2 linked regions of the Xenopus tropicalis genome follow. The protein of the gene in region 2 purifies or fractionates together with the protein of the main gene of each other region. This does not show direct contact. Links are inferred from orthologs where the notes say so. Each region holds a gene or a part of one and is shown on either strand. Other genes may lie near its edges.

What was found. The genes of interacting proteins can lie anywhere in the genome.
Region 1: the proteins of kifap3 (region 2) and kif3c purify together in Homo sapiens (co-immunoprecipitation; 3 studies listed by BioGRID and IntAct, counting the BioPlex papers as one, with this or other methods). This does not show direct contact. The link is inferred for Xenopus tropicalis from reciprocal best matches to the Homo sapiens genes KIFAP3 and KIF3C.

What each region holds. Positions count from the first base shown.
Region 1 is NC_030681.2:154,245,938-154,250,009, forward strand, and holds the start of kif3c (kinesin-like protein KIF3C), read right to left. Parts: upstream 2,801-4,072; 5' UTR 2,222-2,800; coding exon 809-2,221; intron 1-808.
Region 2 is NC_030680.2:118,547,055-118,550,554, forward strand, and holds part of kifap3 (kinesin-associated protein 3), read left to right. Parts: intron 1-369; coding exon 370-524; intron 525-3,500. UniProt on the Homo sapiens protein: Involved in tethering the chromosomes to the spindle pole and in chromosome movement. Binds to the tail domain of the KIF3A/KIF3B heterodimer to form a heterotrimeric KIF3 complex and may regulate the membrane binding of this complex.

The DNA.
Region 1 (4,072 bases), on a different chromosome or scaffold from region 2:
CTTACTACAATATACATACCCCCAAGCCCCAGAGGTAAAGATAACCTTTTTGAGTTATACATTAGCCCTGTGTTGTAAGAGAAGGCAGAGGCATCCTCTCACCCCATCAGCTGTAGGGTGATAATCTCTTCCCACTAAATGGTAACATGAAATAGTGGGTGACCCCAATGGCACTGGGTTATTTAACATCATCTTATTATTATTTTATTATTATTGTCCTGATTAAGATCACTGTTTACCCGTTATTAAGGGGCCACAGCTGTGCACACAATCCATTAAGGTGCATGGCTGCCTAGAAACCAGTGCAATCTGCAGCATGCATTGTGGGTTTTATATGTGGCCGATAGTAACGGGAAAGCAGACCTTCTTTACTAGAGGGTTGCATTATACTATACACTAGGGTTGCTACCTCACCCCGGCCGCATATTAAACCCACATCCTACATGGCTAATTAGCAATTCATTTCAATGCACGCTGCAGACTGAACTGATTTATGTGCAGCCATGCAGCAGGTATCTAAATTAATTGCTAATTAGCCGTGCAAAACGTGGAATCAATATGTGGCCAGTATTGAAGGGGTGAGGTGGCCACCTTATATACACCATGGATGTTCAACCAGCAGCCATTGGAATGTTGTTGGACTACAACTACCAACATCCCACTGACAGCGGAAGGCTGATAATGACACTGGTACTCGTAGCTCAACATCAATTAGAGCACTGCAGGCTGATCTCCCCCCTCCTCAATGGTTCGGCTCCATCTGAGCAAGTAAACAAGTGTTTCTCCCAGTGGAATGAGTGCAACTTACCTTGAATTTCACAGCCAGCAGCTCTGTAGCTTTCTGCTCCTTGGTCAGATCATCCATCATCTTCTCCTTCTCTTCTATCAGCTTCAGTTTCTCCTCTGCCAATAGACTGTGATCATCTTGGATGGCGGCCTTCTCCTGCTCAATCCTCTCTGCCTGCTCCTTCAGGTAACTTCCTACGTTCTTCTCGATGAGCTTGTCTTCATTGTCTTCTTCTGCCTCCGTATCTGGAGTGCCGTCTCCATCCACAGACTTTTTTCTGCGGCTGTTCCTTCTTCTCTTCTTACTCAGCATCCCTCGTTTCTCCAGCTGGGCTTTTAGTCGAGCGATTTCCTCTTGGAACTCCCTCAACAATGTGTCCTTTGGGTCCTCGTTGATTCTAGGCTTGTTCTTGATGTTCTTGGCCCTATTGGCAAATCTGAGGGTGGACAAGGTCTCGTCGTAATTGACCGAAGCCGGCCCTAAAGTTGCCACCATAATGGTTTTTGCATTGCCGCCCAGAGAATCCTGAAGCAAGCGGGTGAGTTTGGAGTCTCTGTAAGGAATATGGGTGCTTCTGCCATCAACCAGTGCAGAGATCACATTACCCAGCGCTGAAAGTGAGAGGTTAATTTTTGAAGCTTCTTTAGGCCTGTCACCATTTATTCCTGTTTTGCTTTGTCTCTCACTGCCAGCTAAGTCCACCAGGTTGAGTTTCCCCACTCGGATATGCTCTTCCCCATCCACTCCAATTTCGCTGCACTCCACCGTGATGACAAAAATGGTGTGGGACCTTGAGCTGTACTCGTTCATATATGTGCAGGCCACGGACCGTGACTGGTTGCCCAAATTCATGACATGTTCGATCTCCTTGACGTTCTTTGTCACAAAAGACGAGAGGTCCTTGATGTAAACTCCGGTCTCGGGATTCTCCTTGAGTTCGAGCTTCCTATTCTGGTCTTTGCACAAAAGGTCTCTGATCTCCTCCTGGTAGATTTCGAGGTAAGACGCCCTCACCAAATATTGCTGGTTTTGGGAGCGGGAGATGTGAGTGAAAATATGGTCAAAAGTATTAGGGATCACCCCTCTTTTCTCAGGCTCGGCCCAAACACCTTGCATAGTGTAGGTCTTTCCGGTGCCGGTCTGCCCGTAAGCAAATATGGTCCCGTTGAACCCCTGCAGCACCGAGTCAATAAGAGGCCTAACTGTCTCATCGTACAGGTCCGCCTGCTTCGAGCTGGCATCGTATACGGCATCGAATGTGAACGTCTTTGCCAGTTCCCCTGGATTTGCCCTTGGATGCCTCATAGTCACTTGGCCCAGTTTAATATCCATATCAACAATGCCCTCGTAGCCAGCTGCCTCCTCTTTCCTGTTGGTAGGGCGGCATCGTACCACCACCTTCAGCGCCTCGCTACTCTTAGCTTTGCTGCACATCTTGACTCTCCTTTTTGCTCCCGTCTGGTGCTTTTGTTTATCCCAAGGCAACGCAAACCCACAGACACACCTCAGAACCCACAGACGCCCCGGTGCAAGGATTTTTCAATCCTCCCCTTCTCACCTTTGCTTTCCTGAACAGAAGGATTTACTGGGCGGAATAATCCCCTGGTGGCATCTCCTTAGAAATTGCAGGAGCTTCATTGCGCAGCCCCCATGAGATACACAGGAGCCGTTCTAGCTTGTACGGGAAAGGACGGGGATCTGCAGCAAGGGGGTAAATAAGGAAATGTACCAAGTGCCCCCGGTGTGTGGGTAGTCAGAGCCGGAGACAAATCCTGTGCCAGGTTCCTGGGAGGCATCTGGAAACGCCTTGGCTGTTCCTCAGCTGTAGATGCTCATTCATTGCAGTGCGGCTGTTCTGTGTGTGAGAATGACAGGCAAAAACAAGGACAGGGGATGAGGCGGGGTCTCACAATGATGCTGTGGTGCTCGGAGAGGGTGGGGGGCAGATGCCTCTACTGACTGCTTTGCTGTGCAGGAAAACAGCCAGATAGGACACAATGCTCAGCTAATGCTTCCCCATCGGAGCCTGCCCACCGGCTGAGCTCACTCCCCACAGAGATGTTATCCTGCACAGGAATTCTGGGGCTTGTAGTTCTCAGCCGCTTGGTGAGTGTGGCAGACGTGCCACTAAGGCTCTTATTCTGCAGAGATTCAGAAAAAACAAAACAGGCCAGTGATTGGCTGACAGGCATAGCAACTCCCAGAATCCCCTTACAGCCAAGCAAAATGTGAGACATTAAAAGAGCAATGCTAAATAGAGATTGTAGGATTTTATTGGTAGTAAGTGTGAGTCCCTGGCAATGATATGTACAATGGAAATAGAGCATTTGGGCTGGCTACATACCTAAATAGAATTAGAATACATAGAATACATAATAATTAGTGTAACAAGGTTACAGATATATAGAAACATTGGGGTAACAGTCACCCTGCTATAGTTCCAGGGGTACCCAGGGCACAAATAAGCACTCACCCCAAATCTCCCCCTAACTGGCCTTCAGGCTGGGCCCCCTTAGCCCATAACAAGGTTACAGATATATAGAAACATTGGGGTAACAGTCACCCTGCTATAGTTCCAGGGGTACCCAGGGCACAAATAAGCACTCACCCCAAATCCCCCCCTAACTGGCCTTCAGGCTGGGCCCCCTTAGCCCATAACAAGGTTACAGATATATAGAAACATTGGGGTAAGAGTCACCCTGCTATAGTTCCAGGGGTACCCAGGGCACAAATAAGCACCCACCCCAAATCCCCCCCCAACTGGCCTTCAGGCTGGGCCCCCTTAGCCCATAACAAGGTTACAGATATATAGAAACATTGGGGTAACAGTCACCCCGCTATAGTTCCAGGGGTACCCAGGGCACAAATAAGCATTCACCCCAAATCCCCCCCCTAACTGGCCTTCAGGCTGGGCCCCCTTAGCCCATAACAAGGTTACAGATATATAGAAACATTGGGGTAACAGTCACCCTGCTATAGTTCCAGGGGTACCCAGGGCACAAATAAGCACTCACCCCAAATCCCCCCCTAACTGGCCTTCAGGCTGGGCCCCCTTAGCCCATAACAAGGTTACAGATATATAGAAACATTGGGGTAACAGTCACCCTGCTATAGTTCCAGGGGTACCCAGGGCACAAATAAGCACTCACCCCAAATCCCCCCCCTAACTGGCCTTCAGGCTGGGCCCCCTTAGCCCATAACAAGGTTACAGATATATAGAAACATTGGGGTAACAGTCACCCCGCTATAGTTCCAGGGGTACCCAGGGCACAAATAAGCACTCAC
Region 2 (3,500 bases):
TGTCGCACCAAAGCACAGAACATCAGTGGTAGCACCAATGTTACCCTCCTTCCTCCACCCTTGTGGATCGCTTCTGCTCTCCTGTGTGTGAACTTACAGCAAGACAGGGGTAGGTGAGCAGGGAGTCTATGAAGGTTTCATTTTTCCCATAACTGCGCCCTAGGCAGCTGCCTACCCCTAGTTCCAGCCCTAGTGAAGGTGTTTGAGGATGTTGACATAAAGGCAGATGTTCTAGTATTTAAATACAAAATTATTATTTCTAATTGTATGACCTGTCTGGGGAAGCCTGGCACATTAACCAAGGTTAATGTAAATAACACATGAAATACAGACACCAACTTGATTGCTTTATTTTTTTTATTCATTTAGCATTCGTCTGAAAAGTCTCAATGCCAATACAGATATTTCCTCTCTTGCACGGAAAGTGGTGGATGAATGCAAACTTATTCACCCATCTAAACTTGCAGAAGTGGAGCAGCTGCTTTATTACCTCCAGAACCGTAGAGAGGGATTGCAAAGTAAAGGTAAGATCTGCAAAACTGATAGTGGCTCCTTCGTCACAGTTTTATGAACCTTTGAAGTGTAGAGTCTGCCTGTGTAATTAGTTTGATTCCCTATCTGATTCCTGGGGGTTTATTTATTAATTTTTAAAAAAAGTGCACACATCCTCCATTCATCTAGAACTTTCAAAGTTTTCAATATAGCTTCACAATTAAAGGAACAGTAACACCAAAAAATGAAAGAGCTTTAAAGTAATAAAAATATAATGCACTGTTGCCCTGCACTGGTAAAACTGGTGTGTTTGTTACAGTAACACTACTATAATTTATATAATAAGCTGCTGTGTAGCCACGGGGGCAGCCACTCAAGCTGGAAAAAAGGAGAAAAGGCACAGGTTACATAGCAGATAACAGATAAGTTCTGTAGAATACAATAATGTTTTATCTGTTATCTGCTATGTGCCTGTGCCTTTTCTCCTTTGAATGGCTGCCTCCATGGCTACATAGCAGCTTATTTATATAAATTATAGTAGACTTTCTGAAGTAAACACACAACTTTTACCAGTGCAGGGCAGCAGCACATTATATTTTAGTTACTTTTATACACTTTCATTTTTTGGTGTTACTGTTCCTTTAAGAGCAAGGCCAAAGAGACACTGGCATTTTGTATAAAGTGTAGTGAGGGCTGCATTTGTCAGCATGAGCAAGAATGCACAGCTAAGAGAAAACCTTACTTTCATTCATTAAAATCCTTTTAGCTTTTTGTTCAGTAGCTATTCAGTTTGGAATTTCAGCAGCTATCTGGTTGCTAGGGTACAAATTATCCTAGCAAATTATCCTATCCTAGGCCTGAATATAAAGAAAAGTGATAAAAAGTAGCAATAACAATAAAAATGTAGCCTCACAGAGCAATAGTTTTTTGGCTACTGGGGTCAGTGACCCCCATTTGACAGCTGGAAACATTCAGAAGAAGTAGGCAAATAATTCAAAAACTATAAAAATGAAGACCTTTTGAAAGGTTGCTAAGAATTATCCATTCTACAACATAATTCGTTAATTAAGGTGAACTACCCTTTTAACAAACAGGCCACAAGGACTTCATGCTTTTGTTACATAACCTGATTCTGTACTGGACTAAGTGCACACATACATGTGTTATAGAATATAGTGCAAATTGTTGCTTATCTGCATTCTTTTTGTTACAATAACATACTTTATGCACTTTTTTTGCTTGCACTTTGTTTTAACAATAAAAAAAAAAAAACCCTCAGCTTTCTGCTCTGTGTGCTGTAGGTAGTATATGTAATAATGTCTCAGAGACTATAAAACCAGTATTCTTTGGTTTTCCTCTCACGGGCAAAACATGGGTTCATTATGTTCTTTACAATGCTATTATTGGTTATTGTGTTTTGGGGTATTATCCGAAAGGATTTCACCTATAAATTTTTAGTCCAGGTGGTCTGGCTTTATTCTCTATCTGGAGCTTACAAGTAAGCTATTTGATGTGCTTTTAAAATTGTAATAGATGCAGCCTGCATTTTGTTCAAAATAATAATAATGTAAGTATTTGCTAGGCTTTCTGTTTTTTTTTATGGAATGCTTGGCAGAATTCAAGACTCTTCAGTCTTTTCTCTAAGCTTTTAATAACAATAACACTAAAAAAAAGGTTTAATATTAACTGAGCGCACTAATGCTTCCCAAAGAGCTGCTTCAATAGAATTCTCCTCTTTTTTTTATGTATTGTCATTTAATGTCTCCTAGTTAAAACCAGCTGGGAAACGCTCACAGGTTGAAATGTTTTGCTGAATAACTAGTATTTTTTTATGTGATATTTCTAAATTCCTATATTTGTGTGTTCTTCCCCTCGAAGTGCAAAGTCTTTCTCGGTTAAACCCATACTTTGTTTTCAAGGCTGTTTTTACCACTTCGCACGAGCTTAATGTAAGCCAGTGTTTCATTTCCTGCTCAGTATCATCCAGTCCAGCGGGTGACGATGCTCTGACTTAGTTGCTGCTATAAAGCCAACACTGGGAAAGAACAGTAACATTTTTGTAAGATGAGCTGAAGAAAAATACCGTGATGAAATGTCATCCTGCTTTTGGTTAGCATTAAACGAAAAGGGTGATATTTTATTAAATGTTTTCACGGCAGTGTAAATGTCACAGACACGGTTTGAAATAATATTTGGGACAAAAAAGGAAAGGCCAACTAAGCCTGTAATAGGAACACAGAAAATGTTTAGCAGAGTTAAGGAACCAATATAATATCCTAGTGCAGAAGCAAGTTGTGGAATTATGTTCTGTGCCTTTGGGCGGATTGAAAGGTTCCCATAGCATTGTGACTGAAGCCACTGCAATACACAGGGATTAAATGTGTCTGTGGTTTCTGACCTCTTTATGAATGTAACTGTTTGGAAACAGCTGTGCTGTCCATCTTTTCACAAGCAGTGGGAATGTTATCCAACAAAGCTAAAAAAAAAAATGTTTCTGGACCAAATTATGGGAAAATGAAGTGACAGCAGTAGAGCCCATGGGCAGGCTAAGAAACATAACATGACTTGGGACACAAACTGGCCAGCGCTGGTATTCCCTATGCCCTGTGATGGCTTGCATGTTATGTGTGAATTGTCTAAGATCAATGCCCTTTGTTTGTTTAAACATAAATAAGGAACACAGGAGAGAGGCAAACGTACCAAAGAATGTTAGCGTTAGAGCTATGTATGTAATTTGACCATTCTGGCTTAACAGATCTCCATACAGGATTTAAAACAATCATATATTTCACTATTTTTTAGTTTATTTTTATTATATAATGGATACAGGAAAGGGATCTGTTATGCTGAAACCCGTTATCCAGAACGCTCCAAATTAGGGGACGGCTGTCTCCCATAGACTCCATTATAAACAAATAATTCTTCTTTTTGAAATGATTTCCCTTTCCGTGACAAATAGCTGCTGCTAGTAGCTCCATGTGTCTTCTCCCTAAAACTAACTTTTAGTA